Ovis aries: one gene and its partners. The protein of the gene in region 3 purifies or fractionates together with the protein of the main gene of each other region. This does not show direct contact. Links are inferred from orthologs where the notes say so. Each region holds a gene or a part of one and is shown on either strand. Other genes may lie near its edges.

What was found.
Region 1: the proteins of FOXO1 (region 3) and ATG7 purify together in Homo sapiens (affinity purification with western blotting; 4 studies listed by BioGRID). This does not show direct contact. The link is inferred for Ovis aries from reciprocal best matches to the Homo sapiens genes FOXO1 and ATG7.
Region 2: the proteins of FOXO1 (region 3) and SIRT2 purify together in Homo sapiens (affinity purification with western blotting; 3 studies listed by BioGRID). This does not show direct contact. The link is inferred for Ovis aries from reciprocal best matches to the Homo sapiens genes FOXO1 and SIRT2.
Region 4: the proteins of FOXO1 (region 3) and SKP2 purify together in Homo sapiens (affinity purification with western blotting; 4 studies listed by BioGRID). This does not show direct contact. The link is inferred for Ovis aries from reciprocal best matches to the Homo sapiens genes FOXO1 and SKP2.
Region 5: the proteins of FOXO1 (region 3) and SIRT1 purify together in Homo sapiens (affinity purification with western blotting; 5 studies listed by BioGRID and IntAct, with this or other methods). This does not show direct contact. The link is inferred for Ovis aries from reciprocal best matches to the Homo sapiens genes FOXO1 and SIRT1.

What each region holds. Positions count from the first base shown.
Region 1 is NC_056072.1:55,258,415-55,263,456, reverse strand, and holds the start of ATG7 (ubiquitin-like modifier-activating enzyme ATG7), read right to left. Parts: upstream 3,013-5,042; 5' UTR 2,962-3,012; exon of another isoform or gene 2,045-2,961; intron 1-2,044. UniProt on the Homo sapiens protein: E1-like activating enzyme involved in the 2 ubiquitin-like systems required for cytoplasm to vacuole transport (Cvt) and autophagy.
Region 2 is NC_056067.1:47,962,758-47,966,797, forward strand, and holds the end of SIRT2 (NAD-dependent protein deacetylase sirtuin-2), read right to left. Parts: intron 3,542-4,040; coding exon 3,482-3,541; intron 3,196-3,481; coding exon 3,140-3,195; intron 2,991-3,139; coding exon 2,914-2,990; intron 2,827-2,913; coding exon 2,775-2,826; intron 2,004-2,774; coding exon of another isoform or gene 1,923-2,003; exon of another isoform or gene 1,863-1,922; intron 1,845-1,862; coding exon 1,774-1,844; intron 1,631-1,773; coding exon 1,564-1,630; intron 1,447-1,563; coding exon 1,288-1,446; 3' UTR 717-1,287; downstream 1-716. UniProt on the Homo sapiens protein: NAD-dependent protein deacetylase, which deacetylates internal lysines on histone and alpha-tubulin as well as many other proteins such as key transcription factors.
Region 3 is NC_056063.1:22,236,860-22,240,712, forward strand, and holds part of FOXO1 (forkhead box protein O1), read left to right. Parts: intron 1-783; coding exon 784-2,118; 3' UTR 2,119-2,140; intron 2,141-2,605; 3' UTR 2,606-3,853. UniProt on the Homo sapiens protein: Transcription factor that is the main target of insulin signaling and regulates metabolic homeostasis in response to oxidative stress.
Region 4 is NC_056069.1:38,233,447-38,238,422, reverse strand, and holds the start of SKP2 (S-phase kinase-associated protein 2), read left to right. Parts: upstream 1-1,973; 5' UTR 1,974-2,153; coding exon 2,154-2,197; exon of another isoform or gene 2,198-2,281; intron 2,282-2,695; coding exon 2,696-2,967; intron 2,968-4,976. UniProt on the Homo sapiens protein: Substrate recognition component of a SCF (SKP1-CUL1-F-box protein) E3 ubiquitin-protein ligase complex which mediates the ubiquitination and subsequent proteasomal degradation of target proteins involved in cell cycle progression, signal transduction and transcription.
Region 5 is NC_056078.1:23,632,740-23,637,791, reverse strand, and holds the start of SIRT1 (NAD-dependent protein deacetylase sirtuin-1), read right to left. Parts: upstream 3,201-5,052; 5' UTR 3,135-3,200; coding exon 2,750-3,134; intron 1,461-2,749; coding exon 1,344-1,460; intron 1-1,343. UniProt on the Homo sapiens protein: NAD-dependent protein deacetylase that links transcriptional regulation directly to intracellular energetics and participates in the coordination of several separated cellular functions such as cell cycle, response to DNA damage, metabolism, apoptosis and autophagy.

The DNA of each region.
Region 1 (5,042 bases), on a different chromosome or scaffold from region 3:
CCACCTGACCTGCCTCCTGAGAAATCTGTATGCACGTCAAATAGCAACAGTTAGAACTGGACATGGAACAATGGACTGATTTCAAATTGAGAAAGGAGTACATCAAGGATGTATATTGTCACCCTGCTTATTTAACTTAAATGCAGAGTACATCATGAGAAACGCTGGGCTGGATGAAGCACAAGCTGGAATCAAGATTGCTGGGAGAAACATCAATAACCTCACATATGCAGATGACACCATCCTTTTGGCAGAAAGTAAAGAGGAGCTAATAAAGAGCCTCTTGATGAAAGTGAAAGAGGAGAGTAAAAATGCTGGTTTAAAACTCAACATTCAAAAAATGAAGATCATGGCATCCGGTCCCATCACTTCATGGCAAATAGACAGGGAAACAATAGAAACAGTTGAGACTTTATTTTCTTGGGCTCCAAAATCACTGCAGATGGCGATTGCAGCCATGAAATTAAGACACTTGCTCCTTGGAAGAAAAACTATGACTAACCTAGACAGCACATTAAAAAGCAGAGACATTACTCTGCCAACATAGGTCTGCCTAGTCAAAGCTATGGTTTTTCCAGTAGTATGTATGAATGTGAGAGCTGAACCATAAAGGCTGAATGCTGAATAATTGATATTTTTGAACAGTGGTGTTGGAGAAGAATCTTGAGAATCCCTTGGACTAGCAAGAAGATCAAACCAGTCAATCCTCAAGAAAATCAACCCTGAATATTCATTGGAAGGACTGATGCTGAAGCTGAAACTCCAATACTTTGGCCACCTGATGCAAAGAACTGACTCACTGGAAAAGACACTGATGCTGGAAAAGACTGAAGGCAGGAGAAAGGGACGACAGAGGATGAGATGGTTGGATGGCATCACCGACTCAATGGACCTGAGTTTGAGCAAGCTCCGGGAGTTGATGATGGACAGGAAAACCTGGCGTGCTACAGTCCGTGGGGCCACAGAGGCGGACATGACTGAGCAACTGAACTGAACACACTGTGGGGCGCCACTAGAAAGAGCAGGGAGGATCGAGAGAAAGAGAGGAGGAAGGCATCAGAGAATCTATTTTCCATGAGCAAAAGTGGAAGACAGAGGTCATTCTGACTTTCAAATAAAATCTCTGAGGTCAAGGGTACTGATCAAACAACTTGTCATTTTTATTTCCACGTAGAGGGTTCATTCTCTATCCTCGACCCCCAAAATCCTGACTCCCCCAGCATCATCCAACCAGTTACCAGTCCAGTGAATCTCACTTCCTTGTCTCTTGAATCCACCCACCCCTCTCCATCCCCATAGGTGCTGCCTTGGTTCAGGCCCACCTCCTCCGCCACCTGGACCACAGCAACAGTGCCCTGACCAGTCTGCCTGCAGGTCCTTCCTGCCCACTCTAATCAGCACATCACTGCCTGGCTAATTTAAAAGAGATAAAACCATGGCACAACCCTGCTTAAAAATTCCTCAGGGCTCTACTCTTTACACCCACATTTCCAAATAAAGCTTCTTAACATGTCTTAACTTGGCAATAGTAACTGCAACAGTTTATTGTTTACTATCTACTAGTGCCAAGTGGTGGAGAAGGAAATGGCAACCCACTCCAGTGTTCTTGCCTGGAGGATCCCAGGGATGGCGGAGCCTGGTGGGCCATCTATGGGGTCACACAGAGTCAGACACGACTGAAGCGATGTAGCAGCAGCAGCAGCAGTGTCAAGTGGCTAACATCCTCTAATTCACTTCTCACACCCACCCTAGAAGGTGGATTAATGTCTGCCCTTCGTTTTTGTTCTGTTTTTTTTTTTGGGGGGGGGGGGGCGGTGGCGGGGATGTTTGGCTACGTCATGCGGCTTGTAAGATTTCAGTTCCCTGATCAGGGATTGAACCCCGGGCCAAAACAGTGAAAGCCCAGAATCCTAACCACTAGGCCATCAGGGAACTCCCTATTTGCTCCTTTTACAGATGAGGAAACTGAAGCTAAGAAAGGGAGTGACCAGCCCAAGCTCACAAACTTAGCTCAGTGGCAAAGCCAGACATGGCACACAAGTACCTCAGCTTCCAAAGCCTGTGCTCCTCACGCTGTCGCCCACACGATCCTTCATGATCTGGCTTTCCAGAGTTGCCTCTCCCACAACTGGGCATTCCAGCTTGAGTGAACTCCTTGCAGGTCACTCACTGGACAGCCTTCTGTTCACGCCACTCCCAATGTCTGGGATATCCTCCCACCTCACTGCCCTCTTCACCTGACTAATCCTGCTCATCCTTTAGGACCAAACCCTACTGATGCCTCAGCCTGACCTGTGAGCACCCTAAGTCTGCCAGCAAACCCCCTACAACAGTTTCATACTGTAGTGCTATCTCCTTGACTTAAAAAAAAGAAATTAACTCGAGGACAGGGATGTGTACCTTACTCATTTTGGCATCCCCAGCTTGCAGAGCAGTGCTAGGATCAGTACTTACACTTATTCTCTACCATGAGAAACCAGCTGGAACAGAAAAAGGCCCTTGCGGGTTGCATGTGAGGCCTGTACTCAGCTCCTGAAAAGCGTTTCAACATCATGTCACATGAAGGGAGGAGAGGACGCGCCAGAAAAGACACGCCAGTGACAGCAAGACCGGGCAAAGCCAGGAAGAGAGAGCCCAGGCGTCCTTGTCCCCCGTGTGCCCACACAGGATGTCCAGAGCACTCGCTGCCAGGGGACAGGCGGGAATTACTTTGTTAATTAGCAAGAGCTTCCTAGTCGGAAGACCCCGGGCTGAATCAGCCTGAGGGGGACGTGACCGCAGACAGAAGGCGAGAGCCAGAGTCGGTGTGTCTCCCTAGAGGAGGGAGGCCCGCCTCTTGAAGGAGGCTCCTCAGACCCGCCGTGACCCTCGACCTCACCGCCGAGCTCACCCCTCAGGCCCAGGGCTACAGAAACCGACCTCGCAGGACCCCTGTCCTCCTCAACAGCGCGGCTCACTTACCGCCGCCCAACTTCCGGCAACCGCGGCGAAGTCCGCGGCGCGCGTCCCGATGACGCACGTGGCCCCGCCCCCGCAGGCGTGAGGGGGGTGCGCGCATGCGCACGAGGACGCGCTGGTCGGCCCAGTGAAGGAGCCCCTAGCACTCGGCGGAGTGGGAGGAACCTGGCCTCTGGGGAAGGCGGGTCAGCAGGAGGCTGGTCACGCCCCCTTGGGAGAGCCGGGGAACAGCCTCTCTACCAGAGGCGGCAATGTGTATATATGGCCCTCAGGCTGTTAAAAGTGTCCCGAATCCCATGGATAGAGGAGCCTGGCAGGCTATAGTCCACGGGGTTGCAAAGAGTCGGACACGACTGAGCGACTTCACTTCACTTCACTTCCTCCCCTCTAATGATTTGAGGATGACAGGAATTATCACTTCCATTTTCCAGGCAGCATTAAATTTTTTATCACACGGACCCTTAGGGAGGCACGTGTAGAGAGACAGGCCCTTTTTAATGCATTAAGTGAAGTGAAACTCGCTTAGTTGGTGTCCGACTCTTTGCGACCCCATGGACTATATACAGTTCATGGAATTCTCCAGGCCAGAATACTGGAGTGGGTAGCCTTTCACTTCTCCAGAGAATCTTCTCAGCCCAGGGATTGAACCCAGGTCTCCCACGTTGCAGGCAGATTCTCTACCAGCTGAGCCACCAGGTCTCCCACGTTGCAGGCAGATTCTCTACCAGCTGAGCCACCAGGGAACCCCAAGAAGACTGGAGTGGGTAGCCTGTCCCTTTTCCAGCGGATCTTCCCAACCCAGGAATCAAATCGGGGTCTCCTGCATTGCAGGTGGATTCTTTACCAACTGAGCTATCAGGGAAGCCATTTAGGGCCGGATGAAAGTCAACAGTGACCAACCTCCTCTTTCTAAACCAGGTATTTTTCTCACAGCTTCGTGGTATCAAGGGATAAACTTGTTCATTCCAAATTGTTTATTGAGAGTATACTCTGTTGCAAGCATTGGACAGTGTTAAAGACACAACAGTGAGTGTAAACTTAATCTGACATATAAGGCCAGGACTCTAACATAACTCTATAGAATACTATTTATTGATTATCTATCATAGTTCCATGGTTTCCCATCTCTAATCATCACAAAGGTACTACAAGGTAAAAATTATATCATCCCCATTTTACACATAAAAGAACAGGAGACATGAAAAGTTTTGACTTTTTGAAGGTTAAAGATCTTTGGGGCTACGATTCTAGTAGAAACATATTTGACTGCAAAATAAGAAAACAAACTCAGGCTTATTAATGTGCTTAGTCACTCAGTCATGTCTGACTCTTTGCCACCCTATGAACTGCAGCCTGCCAGGCTCCTCTGTCCATGGGATTCTCCAGGCAAGAATACTGGAGTGGGCTGTATTTCCTTCTCCAAGACTTATTGGAGGAGGGAGGGAGTGGGGGAGGGGAGGACTAGAGCAGTGGGGACACCACGCCAACCAAAGCTCTCCAGGCATCTCATTCGGTTCAGTCGCTCAGTCATGTCTGACTCTTGGTGACCCCATGGACCACAGTATGTCAGGCTTCCCTGTCCATTACCAACTCCCAGAGCTTGCGCAGACTCACGTGCATTGAGTCACTGATGCCATCCAACCATCACCCTCTTTTGTCGCCATCTCCTGCCTTCAATCATCCAGCATCAGGGTCTTTTCCAGTGAGTCAGTTCTTTGCATCAGATGACCAAAGTATTGGAGCTTCAGCTTCACCATCAGTCCTTCCAATGAATATTTCGGACTAATTTCCTTGAGGATTGACTGGTTTGATCTCCTTGTAGTACAAGGGATGCTCAAGTCTTCTCCAACACCATAGTTCAAAAGCATCAATTCTTCAGTGCTTGGCTTTCTGTATAGTCCAACTCTCACATCCATACATGACTACTGTAAAAACCATAATTTTGACTATATGAACCTTTGTCAGTAAGTAATGTCTCTGCTTTTTAATATGCTATCTAGGTTAGTCATAGCTTTCCTTCCAAGGAGCAAGCATCTTTTAATTTCATGGCTGCAATCACCATCTGCAGGTGATTATCATTTTGG
Region 2 (4,040 bases), on a different chromosome or scaffold from region 3:
GATGGGCAGAATAGGCCCCTGCTCCCAGGGGCTTCCCTTCTTCTTGGGGTGGGTATAAGGGATGCATAATAAACAGCTAAATCAACCCATCAGCCCACTGTCCCGAAGTCCAGGGTGTTAGGAAGTGGGGGACAGAGAGCAGGTGCTCTGCCTAGGGGAGAACAGGCAGGAAGGGTGGGGAGAGGGAGGCAGAGGCTTGCCTGGGCCCCATGAGAAGGCAGAAGGAGATGAGGGGTGCTGGGCAGGGTGTGACGGGGGCAGCTGCCTGATGCCACAGGGAGGCTGTGGGTCAGTGTAGCGGAGGGGGGTGGTGATGCCAGCTGCTCGGTCCCCTGGGGGCCCCTACCTGTTCTCCGAGGGGAGGCCTGAAGTAGCAGGAAGTGAAAGTTCCTCACGGAGAGAGAGAGGAAGCTGAGCTGGCAGGGGAAGAGGCGGGGCTGGGGGGATCTGAAAAGGGACCCTCCTCCCTCTTTCTGGGGGCTCAGGCCTTGGGTGACCCGGCTTTGGAGGAAGGGACTCTGGCAGGTGCCTGGGAGTCCAGGGGTAACAGCCAGGACACAGGGCTCCCACGGCCCCGAGCCCGCTCTCGGCACCTTTCAGCACTCTTCACGCTGCTTCTCATGATGGTTTCCTTAGCGGGCGGAGATCTAACCCCCTTCCTCCGGCAGCTTCCCTCGGGGCCCCAGAAAAGAACAGCGAGGCCAGACAGCTAATCGTTAGTTGTTTTTTGTTTTTAATTCATCTCTAATAAGCAACACCATCTGCCCACCCCCACATAGGAAGTGGGACCAAGAGAGGGGGCCTAGCACCCACTTTCAGAGTTGGAGGCAGAGGCCTGGGAGTCCTTGAGGCTTGGATCTCCCCACTGAGTGTATGGAGGGCACAACCCCCAACCCAGGGTAGGTTAGGTTTCATCTACTTGACCAGGGACCCTTGGGAGCAGTAGAGAGCGTGTGGGCCCTGGGGCTCTTGTCCTGGGACAGTTAGCAGTTTGGAGGTACCCGTGGCCCTGTGAGCAGTTAGAGATTAGGGGGGCTGATCCTCGGCCGTAGGGGTGGTTAGAGGCTGTGGGCTGTTAGAGACAGGCTGCCCAAGCCTCTGCCCCCAAGAATGTTAGAGATTTGCTGAGGTCAGGGGTGCTGGGACACCAGTTTTGGGAGGGAATCGTTAATACATTGAAGAAATGTTCTGAGCTCCCCAGAAAAGAGCTGTAAGTTAGAGGAGGGCCAGGGCTGTTTGGGGCTCAGCGGTCCCAAGGCTGGGGGTCCTGCCTGGGAGACGCAGCGGTCACTGGGGTTTCTCTCCCTCAGTGGTCCTGGGCTCCTCCTTGGTGGGAGGTGGTGGAGAATTCCTGGAGGAAGCTGAAGTAGTGGGGTTGGGGGACCGAGACGCCGACTGGGCATCTATGCTTGCATGCTCCTTCCGAACAAGGTCCTCCAGCTCCTTCTGCAGGGGGCAAAGTTCACAGAGGTCAGAGGTCATCATGTGTCATTGGGTCGGAGGACCTGTGGGAGGGGGATCCAGGGACTGGGCTCGGGGTGAGCTGGGGTGATAGCTCCTCACCTTCCAGCCAAGGAGGTCAGCAAGGGCCAGGCAGCCCTGGTCGCAGTCACCCAGCCAGGCCACGTCCCTGAGGGCGAGGGAAGAGTCAAAGCTCCCAGGCTTGTCCCAGCACCGGTGGCTCTGCCTGTCCTTTGCCTCCGTGCCTTCCCTCCCACCTGGGCCCTGTCCCTCCCAGGCTCTACCTCACCCCGCTGCAGGCCCGGGCCTCACCTGTAGGCCTTCTTGGAGTCAAAGTCCATGCCTCCTCCGAGGGCCATCATCATCCCGAGGAAAGGGTCAGTCTGTGGGGGAGGGGGAGCTCAGAGCACAGACTCCGGAGCCAGGGGGCCTGGGTTTGAATCCCAGCTCTGTGACTTCACTCAAGTGGCCTGGCCTCTCTGAACCTCAGTTTCCTTCTCTGTAGAGTAGGGGTAATCACCACACCCACTCCTAGGATGATGCTATCAGTGGGTTAACACAGAGAAAATGCTGAGCACAGAGTCTGCCACACAGTATGTTTTTTGCCTGCTGGAGGAAACAGCTGTCCCCGGGAGGGAGCCCCTCCTGGGACAGAGGTCACCTCAGTTTGAAAAGAGAGCTGAGACACGGCACAGTGACTCCTGATGGCACCGCTGCTGGCCCGGGGACCAGCGAGCCCAGACTCTTCAGTCACAGGAAGCTAAGGTTCCTGTTTTGGCTTACGTTGCTTTGAGCTGGGGTTCTATCATCCCCTCAAAAGGGTAAATGGGACTTCCTGGCAGGCCAGTGGTTAAGAATCCGCCTGCCAATATAGGGGACATGGGTTCCATTCCTGGTCTGGGAGGATCCCACATGCTGCGGGACGACTAAGCCCATGTACCCCAACTACTGAGCCCGTACCCTAGAGGCTGCGCTCTGCAACAAGAGAAGCCACCGCAATGCGAAGCCCGCCATGCAATGCAGTTAGAGTAGCCCCTGCTAGCCGCAACTAGAGGGAGCCCAAGAACAGCAACGAAGGCCTACTATAGACAAAAAAGAAGATAAAAAAGGGTGACTGACCCAGAGGCCTGTGGAACCCTGGAGTGGGGGTAGCCTGGAATCTGACCCCGAGGATTCAAGATCCCCAGGTCTGAGCTGAGGGGCCCAGAACACTGGGCTTCCCCAGAAACCTGTCCCCTGGTTCCCGGGGGGCCTGGGGGAGGTGATGTGGGGCTCGTGTGCGGGGGTGGCAGGGTAGGACGAAGAGGACTCACCTGGCCAGTCTTCTCCTTGTTGATGAGCAGGCGCGGGGTAGACAGGGGCGCCCTGGCGGATGGTGATCTGAGTGGTGAGGGCCTGTCACGGCTCCCCCAGCCTCCCAGCAGCCCCCCACAGCCCCAGCCCCCAACCTACTTGCCGATGAGGGACGCGAAGGGCTGCACCTGCAGGGAGGTGCCCATGATGATAAGGAGGTCCACCTTCAGGAAGTCCTACAAAGCGGGAGCGGCCAGTGAGGTCAGCTGCCGGCCCCCGCCCCCGATTGCAAGCCCACCCACAGCTACTTGGGGAAGCCACCTGCCGCAGGGCAGGACCTAGGCTGCCCCCGCATGGGCCGAGACGGGGCGGCCGGGACACTTACTGACTGCATGCAGGAGAAGAAACGCGCTGGGAGGTTCTCGCCGAAGAACACGATATCTGAGGGGGAGACAGATGGACAGACAGACATGGGGACAGAAAGAGATGGTGAAAAAGCAGGGGACAGAGACAGGGAGGGGGAGAGAGAACGGGCAGGAGCAGGAGGAGGACCCCAGGGCTGGGGCGGGAGTGTGGATGGGGCAGTGGGGAATAGGCCAGGGGGCTATGGCACCCCCTCTCCCTAGTCAGGGAGAGAGGGTGACCAGGGTCGGGTGGATGGATGGGGAGCGTGGCCTTCTTGGGAAGGGGTTAGCGGGTGTGCAGGGTCCCAGGCCCCAAGGCTCACCAGGCTTCACTACGCTCTGACATTTCTCACACTTGGGAGTCACCTCGGAGAAGATCTTCTCTGGGCGTGGGGAAGGGGAGGAGGAGGAGGAGGTAAGAGGCTCTGGGTTGGGGCTGCAGCCTGCCCACGCCACCCCCTTCATTGTCAATACAAACACATCTCAGTCATGGAGGAGCATCCTGGGGCGTTTGCCCTGCCCAGGGAGGACCTCTTCCCAGCACCAGTCCACAGCTATTACATGAAAGAACAAATAAGCAGACACTTGTCCCCAAAAGGGGAAACTGGGTTCCACCAACCCCCAACTTGGGGAATCTGGACTTGGGAGTGAAGTTCTTCCCGTGGGTCTTTTTTTTTTTTTTAATTTATTGATTTTTGGCTGTGCTGGGTCTTCATTGCTACACGGGCTTTCCTCTAGTTTCGGTGAGTGGGGGCTACTTTTTAGTTGTGGCGCATGAGCTTCTCATTGAGGTGGCTTTTCTTGGAGCATGGGTTTTAGGGCGCATGGGCTTCAGTAGTTGAGGCTGCCGGACTCTAGAGCACAGGCTCAATAGTTGTGGCG
Region 3 (3,853 bases):
CTGGGGGATGTATATGTCACGATTTAGTCATGGAGCCGTACTCAGTGGACCAAAGCCACCAGCTCTCTGCCCTTTCCACCACTCCTTCCCTCCCTGGGCAGCTTTTTGGCTTGAATAGAAGCTGGGAAGAGAGGGTCGCGAACAGCACTTGAATTTAAGTGTTTTTTCCCTTGGTGTTTCAACTTTCTAAAACCACCAGCACCACCTCGTTTTCCTTCTATTCACCTATATCTGCCTAATGGACTTTAAGAATGTAAATGAACGTAGGTCTTAACTAGTTTTCAGGGTTTTGATTCTTGACTGAGAATATAATCTGCTTCCTTTCTCTCTTGTTGGGGATCACGTGGGCCCCGTAATACAAAACTTCTCACTTTGTGTTAAGTGGTGCGTGTACCGTCCGCAGAGAACTTGCAGGAGTTCTAGGGGATGATTGGACAGATAGGGGTTTTGAGAGCACTCTGTTAATGGAGTAGTATTTGCATCGCAAATCTAAGTGGTTTAAAAACCAGGTCCTGTAATTTCCATGGAAAATAGGGCTATGTAAAAGAAAGTGTTTATAATAAAGCCTGTTTAGTTTTTTCCCCTTGTAAAATTAAAATACAGATACTGTTTTTAAGATATAATAATACTTTACTCATTGGAGCTGTCTTGTAGTGATGATACAGATCTTACCATAAACTTTGAAAACATGCTTGTCTTCCACGTGAGACGTGTCTGTGTGTAATAGTGGGTCTTCCAGCCAGAGCAGTATTTGTATTTCTGACATGGTGTTCTGCTTTACAGAATTCAATTCGTCATAATCTGTCCCTGCACAGCAAGTTCATCCGTGTGCAGAATGAAGGAACTGGAAAAAGCTCCTGGTGGATGCTCAATCCAGAGGGAGGCAAGAGTGGGAAATCCCCCAGGAGAAGAGCCGCATCCATGGACAACAACAGTAAATTTGCCAAGAGCCGAGGCCGAGCTGCCAAGAAAAAAGCATCCCTGCAGTCGGGCCAGGAGGGTGCCGGGGACAGCCCGGGATCGCAGTTTTCCAAGTGGCCCGCAAGCCCCGGCTCTCACAGCAATGACGACTTTGACAACTGGAGTACCTTTCGCCCTCGAACCAGCTCGAACGCTAGTACCATTAGCGGGAGGCTCTCTCCCATCATGACGGAGCAGGACGACCTGGGAGACGGGGACGTGCACTCAATGGTGTACCCGCCGTCCGCCGCAAAGATGGCTTCTACTCTGCCCAGTCTGTCCGAGATCAGTAACCCCGAGAACATGGAGAACCTTCTGGATAATCTCAACCTCCTCTCGTCACCAGCGTCATTAGCCGTGTCCACCCAGTCCTCACCGGGCACCATGATGCCACAGACGCCCTGCTACTCCTTTGCGCCGCCGAGCACCAGTCTGAATTCACCCAGCCCCAGCTACCAAAAGTACACGTACGGCCAGTCCAGCATGAGCCCCCTGCCCCAGATGCCCATGCAGACGCTGCAGGACAGCAAATCGAGTTACGGAGGCATGAGCCAGTACTGTGCGCCGGGACTCCTGAAGGAGCTGCTGACGTCCGACTCACCTCCGCACAGTGACATCATGACGCCAGTCGATCCGGGGGTGGCTCAAGCCAACAGCCGAGTGCTCGGCCAGAACGTGCTGATGGGCCCCAACTCGGTCATGCCGGCCTACGGCGGCCAGGCCTCTCACAACAAAATGATGACCCCCAGCTCCCACACCCACCCGGGACACGCTCAGTCAACATCCGCAGTCAATGGGCGTGCCTTGCCCCACGCTGTAAACACCATGCCCCACACCTCGGGTATGAACCGCCTGGCCCCGGTGAAGACAGCTTTACAAGTGCCTCTGGCCCACCCCATGCAGATGAGCGCGCTAGGGGGCTACTCCTCGGTGAGCAGCTGCAACGGCTATGGCCGGATGGGCGTTCTCCACCAGGAGAAGCTCCCCAGTGACTTGGACGGCATGTTTATCGAGCGCTTGGACTGTGACATGGAGTCCATCATTCGGAACGACCTCATGGATGGAGACACGTTGGATTTTAACTTTGACAACGTGTTGCCCAACCAAAGCTTCCCGCACAGTGTCAAGACGACAACACACAGCTGGGTGTCAGGCTGAGAGTGAGCAAGCGAGCGAGCAGGTAAGAGCACCCCGATACCAAAAGACCTTCTGAAAACAGGACTTTAAGAGAGGAGCCCAGTAACTTGCCTTGTATCTTCCAGGGTTGGGACTTTTTTTATTTTTATGTCAGCTGGCCACCCCTTGTGGAGAGGCATCTTTTATCATTCATTCTCTGCCCTTTTTGCAGCTTATAAATTCTCCTCTGAGCTGAAACATAAGGAAGCTTCCTCTAATGGCTTTAAAGAGTTTCTTTTGACAGAAGGCTGCATCTTCGTAGTAACTCTTAAATAAATGAATACATTTGATACAAATCAAATGCTGAAGGGGTTTTTAAAGTGGAATTTTCTCCCATTGAATGATTTCAGAGCTGTTTGAGAAAGCCCAACCCTCCCCCAAGTATGTCTGTCATCCTAATATGTTAAGTTGAATTGATTTTCATTTGGTTGTTTTCAATGCTTGTGTGTGTGTATGTGTTTTTTCCTAGGCTACACTTAAAAGTACTTCAGATTGTCTGACAGCAGGAACTGAGAGAAGCAGTCCAAAGATGTCCTTCACCCTACCTTTTCGTTTTCTTGATTTGAAAAAACAAAACAAAACAAAACAAAACACACAAAACGCATTTCTTTTTTCCTTTCGTCAGACTTGGCAGCGAGGACACTTTTCCTGTACAGGATGTTTGCCCAGTGTTCGCAGGTTATGTGCTGCTCTAGATAAGGACTGTGCCATTGGAAATTTCATTACAATGAAGTGCCAAACTCACTACACCATATAATTGCAGAAAAGACTTTCGGATCCTGGTGTGCTTTCAACTTTTGTACATAAGCTGTAGCTACAGAATTGTATCTCTGTGCTTTTTTTTTTTTTTTTTTTACTATTCATTTGGTCCAAGGAAAGTTTATACTCTTTTTGTAATACTGTGATGGTCTCATGTCCTTGGTAAGTTAAACTTTGGTTTTGTACTACCTGTGTTCTGCTGAACTGATGAATCACAGAGAACCAAGCTCTCCGTTCTACAGCTCCACTGGACAGCTCTGCATCTGTTCACGGCACCCCATAATTCACAGGAGAACCAGTAGCCTGTTGTCCATCTGCTGAATTAATGGACTTATCAAAACTCTTTTGGGGGGGGGGAAAGATTAAACTCCAGCCTTGTACAGGTCTTTTCTATTTTTTTTTCTTCTTCGTTTGTTTATTTTGTTATTTGCAAATTTGTACAAACACTTTAAATGGTTCTAATTTCCATATAAATGATTTTTGATGTTACTGTTGGGACTTGAGATCATTTTTGGAATAGATACTGAACTGTAATGTTTTCTTAAAACTCGAGTCTACCTTTGTTACATGGTCTGCTTGTAAATTTGTGGAATCTCAGACATTTGAAGCAGCGTCCGTGATTTTCCTTTTGTATTTCTAACTGGACTAGTACTAATTTTATATATGCTTCACTTGTTTGTATACTTGGGGATGCTCCTTGGTGATGTTTTCTGACTAATCTTCAAATCCTTGTAATTAGTACTTGCACACCCAACATTTCTGGCCTTGCCTTAGCAGGAGAGTGATGTATAGTTACGGACATTTTGCGTTTCACATTGAGAACTTGATTTGTTTTTGTGTATGTGTTTTACAGACGTCTGCTTCTGCTGTCCTTGTGAACTAGGCATCCCTGCCCGGCATTGAATCTTCTGATCAGTGCCTTTATGCGCTTTGTTTCAAGTACTCCTGGGGGTAGGCT
Region 4 (4,976 bases), on a different chromosome or scaffold from region 3:
AGGACTGAGCGACTAACACTTTATAAGACCTCTATCTGAAGTGCCTTCTTCCAATTATATTTCAAAACTTTACTCTCATCATGGCATTAAAATTTTTTTTATTTCTTCTCCTCCATTAGTTTATAAGCTCCCTCTGTCTTGTTCAATTTCCTGAAGAAGACTAAATATTTCCTCTGAATTGCATTTTTTTTGTTTGACATTTTGTTTTATTTTACTTTACAATACTGTATTGGTTTTGCCATACATCAACATGAACCCGGCACGGGTGTACATGAGTTCCCAGTCCTGAACCCCTCCTCCCACCTCCCTCCCCATACCATCTCTCTGGGTCATCCCAGTGCACCAGCCCCACGCATCCTGTATCCTGCATCGAACCTAGACTGGCAATTTTAAGAGAAAGGATGTAGACTTCAAGCAGGCTACTGCTTTCTCCTTAGCCACAATATCATGAAGATAACTTTATGTAAAAAATAGAACACTGAATTTAAAAATATTTTCCATGTAACATTAGCTTAATGAATTGTGAACATTCAGCTTAGTATTCTTCATCTAGTTTCAACTAGAATCAATCAGTGAGCAGATCCATTCTTTACCCCAGTTTTATCTAGTTTCAAGAGTCAACTACTAAAGGATCACGAACGCCCTCCTCTGTCAAGAGGTGGTTCCATTTCAAGCTATGCACCAAGCCTGAAACAAGCTGATATTCAAGAGGGGGAGGTTTAACTCCAGTGTAAATTGAATTTTTTTTTTTAAGAAATAAGAAGGTATGCCACACAGCATGCTTAAGTGATATTCTAGTATTTTTGTGATGACGCTGGGTGCTTCTTTCTGAACTTTATAAATCCTCTCCATTTTTACTAGGGTTGGAAGTTATTCCCCCTCTCTCTTCCACTGTTTTCCCAGGCTCGCAGTTATAGAACATTTGCACAATGGATTTCGCACGGTCATCCTACCCAGAAAATGGCACTCTCTAACCATCTCCAAACTTTTCTCCGTGGATATAGTCTAAAAGCAAGCAGCTGACTTTTAGGACGTGAGGCAAACAGAATTTTTTTTTTTTTTTTTTTTGAGACAGTAATCGAATGGTTTTGCTGGTGGCCGCTAGCGTGGCACGGAAAGCCTTTTGCAAACAATAGTCACCTTATTTGTTCTCATGCTAGCATTTATGAGACTTCTCAAGGCTGCCGGAGATGCTGAGCTTTCCCCTGGCACTCACAGCAATCTCCTGCTCCCCTAAAATTAAACCTCCGCCTGACGTTTGAACCGCGCTTTCGTTTACAAAACGCTCTCACGAGCCTCCTCTGATTTGACGGCGACTGTGAAACGAGCGTTCTTGCCGTGGTGCCTATTTTACACGTAAGGAAAGGATCCTGTCCACAGACCTAGTCCTTAGGGCCGCCCTCACCCGGGTGGAGTACGCAGCTCCAGGCAGAGAGGGGAGCAGGTGTGACGCCCACGGCCGCAGCCTCTCACCTGGCCGGCAGGGCGTGCCACGGCCTCCACTCAGCTACCTGGGACGTAGGCCCCGCGACGGCGGCCTCTCGGGGTCTCCGGGGCCCCCCTCAGTCCGCGCTCGGCCCCACACCTCAAAGTGCCTCACGCTCTCCTCCTCGGGCTCACCGTCCGATCTCGCCGGACAGCGTCCAGAAGGGCCTGGAAACCCCGCGGCCGCCACAGCCTTACAGGGTTTGGGACCCACACTCCTTGGCGACAGCGGCGGCAGTCACCAAAAGGTCGGGGGGTCCCGAGAAAGGAAACCCGAACCCCAGTCAAGCAGCTGACATTTCCCCAGTTAGCCGGAGCACCGCCCACTTCCGCTTCCCCGCCTACCCTGTGGGTCGTCCGGTCCCGCAGCCGCGCGGGGTTGTGGGTATCTCGAAGGCGGCAAAGCTGCAAGGAAAGGAAGTAGTGGCGAGGCAGCCGGACTACCAGGCTGGGCAGAAACTACAATTCCCAGCAGGCAGCGGGGCCGCAGACGACGGCTGCGGAGGAGAGCCGGCTGGCTGGAGAATTCTGCGCGCGCTGCTGGGATGGAACGTTGATAGAGTTCGCGGGTTTCGCTGCAGCAAGCCGGGGCCGCACGCAGTGCGCCGCACGCAGTGCGCCGCCGCGCGCCAAAGCGGGAATTCGGGGGGCGGGCACCTCTGCAATTAATGCACGCATTTAAAACTCCCGAACCTGCGGACGCCATGCACAGGTAAACCGATTGCAGAAGGAGACAGAACATGAATGGACCGTCTTAATTCTTTTAGGCCGCGTGTTTTGCTACTTGGCTAATATTGTTAGTAATGCTGTAATGTGAATGGCTGCTTAGCCTCTTTGGGAAAACGTGGATGGGTGGATGCTTTAGTGCGGTGGTCAGCGTGGATGTTATTTGTCTTCCCTTATTGGGCTTTCCTGCTGCTGTTTTCAATCAGTGTGTGATTGCCCTGCCTCTTTCCTTGTATGTTCCCTCCACTTTTAAGAAATTCTTGAGGCCTTCTGCATGATCGGAAATCGAAAAGCCTTTTCGATGTGTTCGGTTATTTTCTCTTTTATTCTTGGGGACTCGCCGCCGGCACGTAAAAATGCAGTTCAGTTAACTGCTGTGAAAGCTTTCTGCGGTGCATAGCTTGCAGCTTCCTTTAGGCCTGTCTGGGAATTATTTACGGGCGTGTTTTTGAAAGGAACGTGGGGCTATTGTGCGTTTCTGCAGGAAACACCTCCAGGAGATACCCGACCAGAGTAGCAACGTTACCACCAGTTTCACGTGGGGATGGGATTCTAGCAAGACTTCTGAACTGCTTTCAGGCATGGGGGTCTCCGCCCTGGAGAAGGAGGAGGTGGACAGTGAGAACATCCCCCAGGAACTGCTTTCAAACCTGGGCCACCCACAGAGTCCCCCACGAAAACGGCTGAAAAGCAAAGGAAATGACAAGGACTTTGTGATTGTCCGCAGACCTAAGCTAAACCGAGAGAACTTTCCAGGTAAGGTTTGAGGGTAAAATACAAGCCCAGTCAATGGTGGATTAAATTGACCGGTTATTTTGTCGGTAGACCTTTGTTTAGGGTTATTTAGCATGGGGTGGGGCCCTTCTAAAGAAATTGTAATTTAAATTTATTTATTTATTTTTGTCCGTGCTGGGTCTTCCTTGTTGCCCCGGCTTTTCTCCAGTTGCAGAGACTTCTCTTTGGGGGAGCATGGGCTCTAGGACGCAGGGGCTTCGGTAGTTGGAGCACGTGGACTCGGCAGTTGCGGGTTCCAGGCTTTAGAACACAGCCTCAATTACTGTGGCGCTGGGGGCTCAGTTGCTCTGCTGCGTGCGGGATCTCTTCCCAGATCAGGGATCGAACCAGTGACTGCTGCATTGGCAGGCAGATTCTTTACCTCTGAGCCACCAGGGAAGGCCAGATAGGGTCCTTTTAAAACTGCCCAATTCCTAAGTTATTTTCCAAAGAAACCAGACCACTGGTTGTGCTTACAGAAATGGTGGTATGTGTGTGTCTTCAGAGACAGAACTGACTTGTAACCGGTGAAAAGACATTCCTTCCTTTTTCTTTAGGAGGGACTCTGCCTGGTTAAGGGCCAGCTCAATACCTCTGACAAATAGAAACAAAGCAATGATCCATAGAATTCTTTTTGTTTATATTTGGCTGCTCTGTAGCCGCTGTTGAGCCTTTTACCATAATCACTTTAGTTATTTATCAAAGGACTGCTGAAGTGAATGTTGAGCTAAGGGGGAGAGACTCATCCTTACAGATCCATTCCCAAGAGGAATTCTTTATGCTGTCTCCATCACTCACTGTGTTATCTGTTCAGTTTCCCCAACCCCATAACCTAAAGGTCAGTCAGATTCCCACCATCCCCCCCCAAAATCCAACCAATCATTGAATCTTTCCCTCTTGTCTCCTAAATATTTCTCATATTTAGGAAGGGACTCATAATTCAGAGCCTTATCCTCCCCAGATCCATCCCCCAGAGCTAGAGTGGACTGATTGAAATGTAGAACTCCACTACGTCATTCCCCTCTAAATAGCTCTCTGTTTCCAGGCTTCTCAAGCTGATTTATAACTGCCTCCCACCGTGGATCAGAGCTCCAGGAATACTCAGAACCATAGGGTAAACATAGTGCGTTGACCTGGGGTTATCAGTTTTTCTTACTGGCAAGCCATGTAAAACATTAATTCAGCAAATATTTGCTGAGCACATTGCGTCTGCTAGGCATTGTTCTAAGTACTGGGGATATAGCAGTGAGCACAATAAAAGCATTTCTACCCTCATGGAGCTTCTCTTCTAGAAAGAGGATGCAGTATGCACAAATCTGGTGTGTAGTATGTTAGAATAAGTGCTATGGCTAAAAACAAAAATAGAACACGCCTAGAGGGACAAGAGATCCTGGGATGGGAAGCTGGTTTGCAGGATATTGAAGAAGCCTCACTTGGACAGTGAGCTGTAAGCAAAGGCATAAAGGAGATGAAGGAATGTGCCATGCAAATATCTTGGAGAAAAGAGCCCCAAGCAGAAGGAGCAGGTAGTGCAAAGGCCCTGGAGCAGGAGAATGATGTGTTTGTTCAAGGAACAGCAAGGAAGCCATATTCCAAGAGTAGAACAGCAGAGGGGAGAATAGTGAGAACTGGGCTAGAGGTACAGTTGAGCAGAGTTGCTATGTAACCTTTGAAAAGGATACACTGGTGTCTTGAGACTAAACTTTGAGGGCTTGAGGATAAAAGCTTAGAGACTTGTTGAGAGGTGTGAGAGTGGTGCTAAGCAGCTTCTGGATAGATTTTGATATTAGAGTGGACAGAGAAAGGTTTTGAAATTGTAGAAGTGATCATACTCTAAATTGAAATTGCATGGGACATGATGGAGAAGAAGAGACAGTCGAGAAATAAAGATGAAGTCTTGCAGAGCCAGGGTAAATTAAGTATATTCCTGAATTCCCCCATCTGGCTTTCTTAGAGAAAGCTTGGTTGATCGCTTGCTTGCTTGAACAAAA
Region 5 (5,052 bases), on a different chromosome or scaffold from region 3:
CACTCCTTAAGGCTGTTTTGTAAAGTAAAAAAATGCACTGCAAAGGTGTTTCATTCAGAACATCTTCAGAGCTAAGGTTATATATCCCAATGAAATCAGGAGCTGAGACACAGAGCCACTACTATATATCCTGTCCCCTGAGCTATAAAATGCCAGGTATGTATTTCAAAGGGATTCCCTGGTGGCTCAGTGGTAAAGAGGCCATAGTTCAATCCCTAGGTAGACAAGACCCCTGGAAAAGGAAACGGCAACTCAATCCAGCATTATTGTCTGGGAAATCCCAGGGACAGAGGAGCCTGGCTGGTTACAGTTCATGGGGCGGAATCAGATGCAACTTCGTGACTAAACAACATGTGTAAGAGTCAAGTGAATTTACTACTAGAATTAGATTTCTCTGGTTAAAACCTAAAAAAATATAACTTAAATACAACAGATGTACAAAAGGGCTCTGCAAATCAATAAAGATCTTACCCATCCTGAAAGCCCACACTATTTATCATTAAAAACACAAAGAAAATGAAATCTATCCTTAACTACTATCTTTAAAATGTTCCCAGTAATAATCTTCAATTTAATCTTAACCTGTCTTTGCAATGATGCATATAATGCTAATGTTCTAAGCTTTAATAATTCTTTGCCCTAAATTTCTTAATCAGTTCCTAGCTTAAGAAAACCAAAAATACAGTCAATATAAACACTAAGAGAAACTAATCATCACGATCTTGAAATAGTCAAGGCATTTCTGGAAAAATGAGAGCACATTAAGAAAAAGAATATTTTGAGATGGTCATGTTACTACTTCGATATAAAAATCTCATAGTATTCTCTACTTCAAAATACTTTCCCATTCCATCAAAATACTTAGTATTTACTGAGGGCAAATTTTTCCAGGCACCGACTAAACAGTATACAAATCAGTCAGAAATCCCTGGCCCCCATGGGACTCTATATTCTAATGCAGGAAACCAGCAATAAAAGTTATACACAGAAATTGTCAAGCAGTAAGTGTTAAGAAGAAAAATTATAGAAGGATATGAAGGAGGAAGCAAGATACTTTGGAGGATGACCATTCCATATGGAGGGTACAAGTGGAAAGGACCGTTTAAGTGTGAGGACCTGGTTTTTGAGAAATTACACAGGCCAGCTTCCATGGGCCCATGCTGTTTAACAAACAAAAACAGAACAAAGTACTAGACTTCCCCTAAAAACCAAGCTGACATTAAATCTCAGTAAACGCCTAAGAACCTCATCACAAGACAATAAGGGAAGAAAGAAATATAGTTTTCCTCGACATAAAAAGAAAATATCAGAGAAAAGATAGCTCTTAACCTGTGAAACCATACCTATCCGAGGTCTTGGAGTCCAGTCACTAGAACTCGCATGCGAGGCTCTATCATCTTCGTCACTTTCGCACGAATGGAAACCGTTGGTGATGATTTCATCACCAAACAGAAGGTCATCTGCAAAAGAAACCAAAGGTAACTCAAGGTTGTGGAAACAATCTGCATCTAAAATTATAAAGCTCTGTAATTATTGTGATGCAACAATTTCCAATGAATAAAGCACTCATACTGCCCGCGTAAAAAATGTCTACTGGATCAACTCACACCGTTCACAGGAACAGTATATCCTCTTTAGGCATTCTGCTCAGAAGCTAAGTTTCATCAAAATCTAGAAATAAGTCTACTTAATCAAAACACAAAAAGTAGCAACCTTGACTGAATTTATCGATCACAAATAGTGGTTCATAAAACTTACCAAATAAAAAGTTACCCAAAAAGTCATGCAAACACAGCTATGGCAACTTGCACTCTCTTATATAACGCAAAATCTACAAAGGTACCTTTGCATTATTCGTTTCCCTTATTAAACTATGTTTCTTGAAAACAGTGTCGTTTTTCTAATCCAGTCCCTAATGCACACGTTATCTTTACATATAGTCAAATGGTCCACTGGTTGGATTTATTAGTACAAATAATGGAGAGGCATATCTATCTAGATAAAAACTATGAAAACACTGAAGGATGACGAGACACACAACTATCACATCTACTTTAGCATGTCAGAAAAATGTCAATTCGTGTTTCAGGGTTACATATACACACACGAAGACAGTTACTGTAAAAACCACTATAAGAACACGATTAGAGGAAAAACACTATTCACGGCAAAGTAGTCTAAAAAACTATTACTCTCCTATGCCCACTATTAATTGCACCACAGAAGGGTAATGTCTTTATAAACACCTATGCTCTTTAAAATTTAAAACAAGTTTGAAAATAGAGGCCCTCCTAAAAACCCCAACAAATTTCGCAGGCAATGGCAAAAGCTGGCGCAAGGGACAGTCAAAAAGTTGCAGGTTGAAGTGTGCGGGACGGGGAGAGGCGGAGAAGCGAACAGCATTTAACAAAAGCAATACACTAAAGGAGTAGGAGGGGAGAGAAACTTATTTTAAAACCGACAGCGAGGGTAGCCCGCCCCGCGGCTGCGCAAAACGCGAGGCCGCTGGGGCGGGCCGCGGGGAGGAAGGTGGGGGTGGCACAGAGCAAGGGAGGGAGCGAGTCCGCGGGCCGCTCCCGCAGCCCAGCCCTCAGCCCCGCAGGCGCGCGGCTGAAGGCCCAGGTCGGCAGGGGGAAGGCGCAGAGCCAGGCCCGAGCCCCCAACCCGCCCGAGACTCCACCACCCGACAGGAGGGGCCCCGGGAGGAGGAGGGGGGATGCGCAGTCCCGGCCGCCCGCGCCCTGCGCACCTCGGTACCCAATAGCCGCCGCCGCCGCCTCTTCCTCCTCCTCGCCCTCGTCGTCGTCGTCGTAGAAGTCGTCGGCCGGTGGCGCCTCCCGGGATAGGCCCTGTAAGCCCGGCCCATTGTCTCCTTCTCCGGCCGCCGCCGCCGCCGCCTGGGCCTCCAGCCACAGCGCCGCCGCCGCTGCCGGGCAGCCGCCGGCCGCCGCCGGCAGTTCCCGCTCGGGGGCCGTCCCGCCGGGCTCGCCCGGGCCCCGCCCGAGGCCGGGGCCGTCTCTTCGCGGCCTCTTGCGGAGCGGCTCCCCAGCAGGCGGCGACGGGGCCTCCCTCTCAGCCGCCACTACCGAGGGGGAGCCGCCGGGCTGAAGGGCGAGCGCCGCCTCGTCCGCCATCTTTCAACCGCCTCTCTGGCCCTCCTCCCTCGCCTCTTCTGCTCCCGCTCGACTCGCGGCACTGGCGCCCCCGCGGCTCCGGCTGCGGGAGATTTAAACCCCGTCACGTGACGCGCCGCTCCTCGCCCCCGCCCTCCCGCCGCTCCCGCCACCCACGCGGGCCGGACCACAACACCGCGGGTCACGTGGCAGGCGGAGGCGGCGTGGGCCTGGAGGAAACCCCGCCTTGGGTGCTGCGGCCCCACCCCTTGGAGGCCGGCGCGTCTCGCAGCCAAACTTGTCTTTCAGTCTTCAAATCAGTGCCCGCGGGTTGGTTCAAGTTTTGCTCTGCGCCGCGAGTTTCCACTTCTGCGTGAAGAGCACGCCTTGCTCGACTGCCTTTGTCTTTTCTTGACTTATGCTAAGGGTTAATACTAAGTTCCTGAGCGGCGTTAAGGCTAAGCTTCCCGAAATGTGCTAAGTAATCGGTCAGTTTGTTAACGGACAAGTGAAGTGAAGTTCGCTCAGCCCTGTCCACCTCTCTGTGACCCCGTGGACTATACGGTCCATGGAATTCTCTAGGCCAGAATACTGGAGTGAGTAGTCTTTCCCTTCTCCAGGTGATCTTCCCAACCCAGGGGTCGAACCTAGGTCTCCCGCACTGCAGGCGGATTATTTACCAGCTGAGTTACAAGAGAAATAGAGGCAAAAGCACGGTTCACTTGTCAACCTCCACACCCCATTCGCACAGCTTCTCTTTGGCTCCCTTTTTCTCTTTGCTTTTGTCTTTAGATTATTGCTATTTCTTCCTCTCTCCATCCCTTGTAGGGCGGTGTAGATTGTCCCTCAAAGGCATGTGTGCGTCCTGCAAAGACCTTTGAGGCGGAGGGATGATCAGCCTACCTGCTTCGTGGTCCCAGCTTGGCTCCAAATGTGTGATTTCCCTCGTATAGGTTTCATAAAATGAGTATATCGGCTCAAGTGGAGTGGTATGAAGATAACTGGGCTGAACATGACTTGGCCGCTACAAACATGTAGATTTGGGTAAGAATTTGAGATCCTTCTAGCGTGAGAAGTTTAGCTTTTCTGTAAAATGGTTAATAAGTATTTTGTAGGGTTTTGATGAGAATTAAAGATAGCCAGATGTAAAGTGAAGGGTGTACATAGTAGCCAAAAATATTAATTCCTTGCCTACTTGAAGTCCCTCTTCTGTTTTTTCCTGAAATTTTAGGACTCTCACTCCACATCTAGCCTTAACTGAGAACCCGTATGATACATGGCAGACCCAGAGCCTAACTTCGTAGGCATCTGTTTCTGAAACAAAGCACTTCTACCCCCTTAAGGGGTAGTGAGTTTATAGTTTATCAGTCCGTAAGCTTTAAGTGGGTCCTGTCTATACAGTGACAATTACTGTTTGAACTTAACGCAACTTAAGGTGTTTCATCCTTTTAAAAAAACAGTTCTAATTTTGAAAATGTAACTGGAAGGTCCCATCTAAACCCAAAAGTCTTTGTACCTCGAGTTAAACTGAGAATCTCTCCTTACAGCTGGTTGTTTCATTTCTGAAAGTGATGATCTCTTTCAGCCTATAAGGCTTGAAATCACTGAAGCGTTCCTTCAGATTGATGCCCGGTAATCAGTCTGTGAACAAATCCTGTGGTCTTTTCTTCCCGCCTACACTCCTAGTGCTTAATTAGGTAGACATCTCACCCTTCCTGGCTTTCATACTTGATCCTATTCTCTCCCCACTTTATCTTATCTCACAAGATATTTCAAATTGCTTCTCAACTATGTTGGTAGGATATATATAAAATGTTAAGAGTCAATATTCTATCAAAATAGGAACAGAACTTTCAGATTAAAAAAAAAGACATATGTAAGCTTATGAACATCTTATTGCTTCATTCATTTGTATATGTTGTACCTCAAAGACACTTGA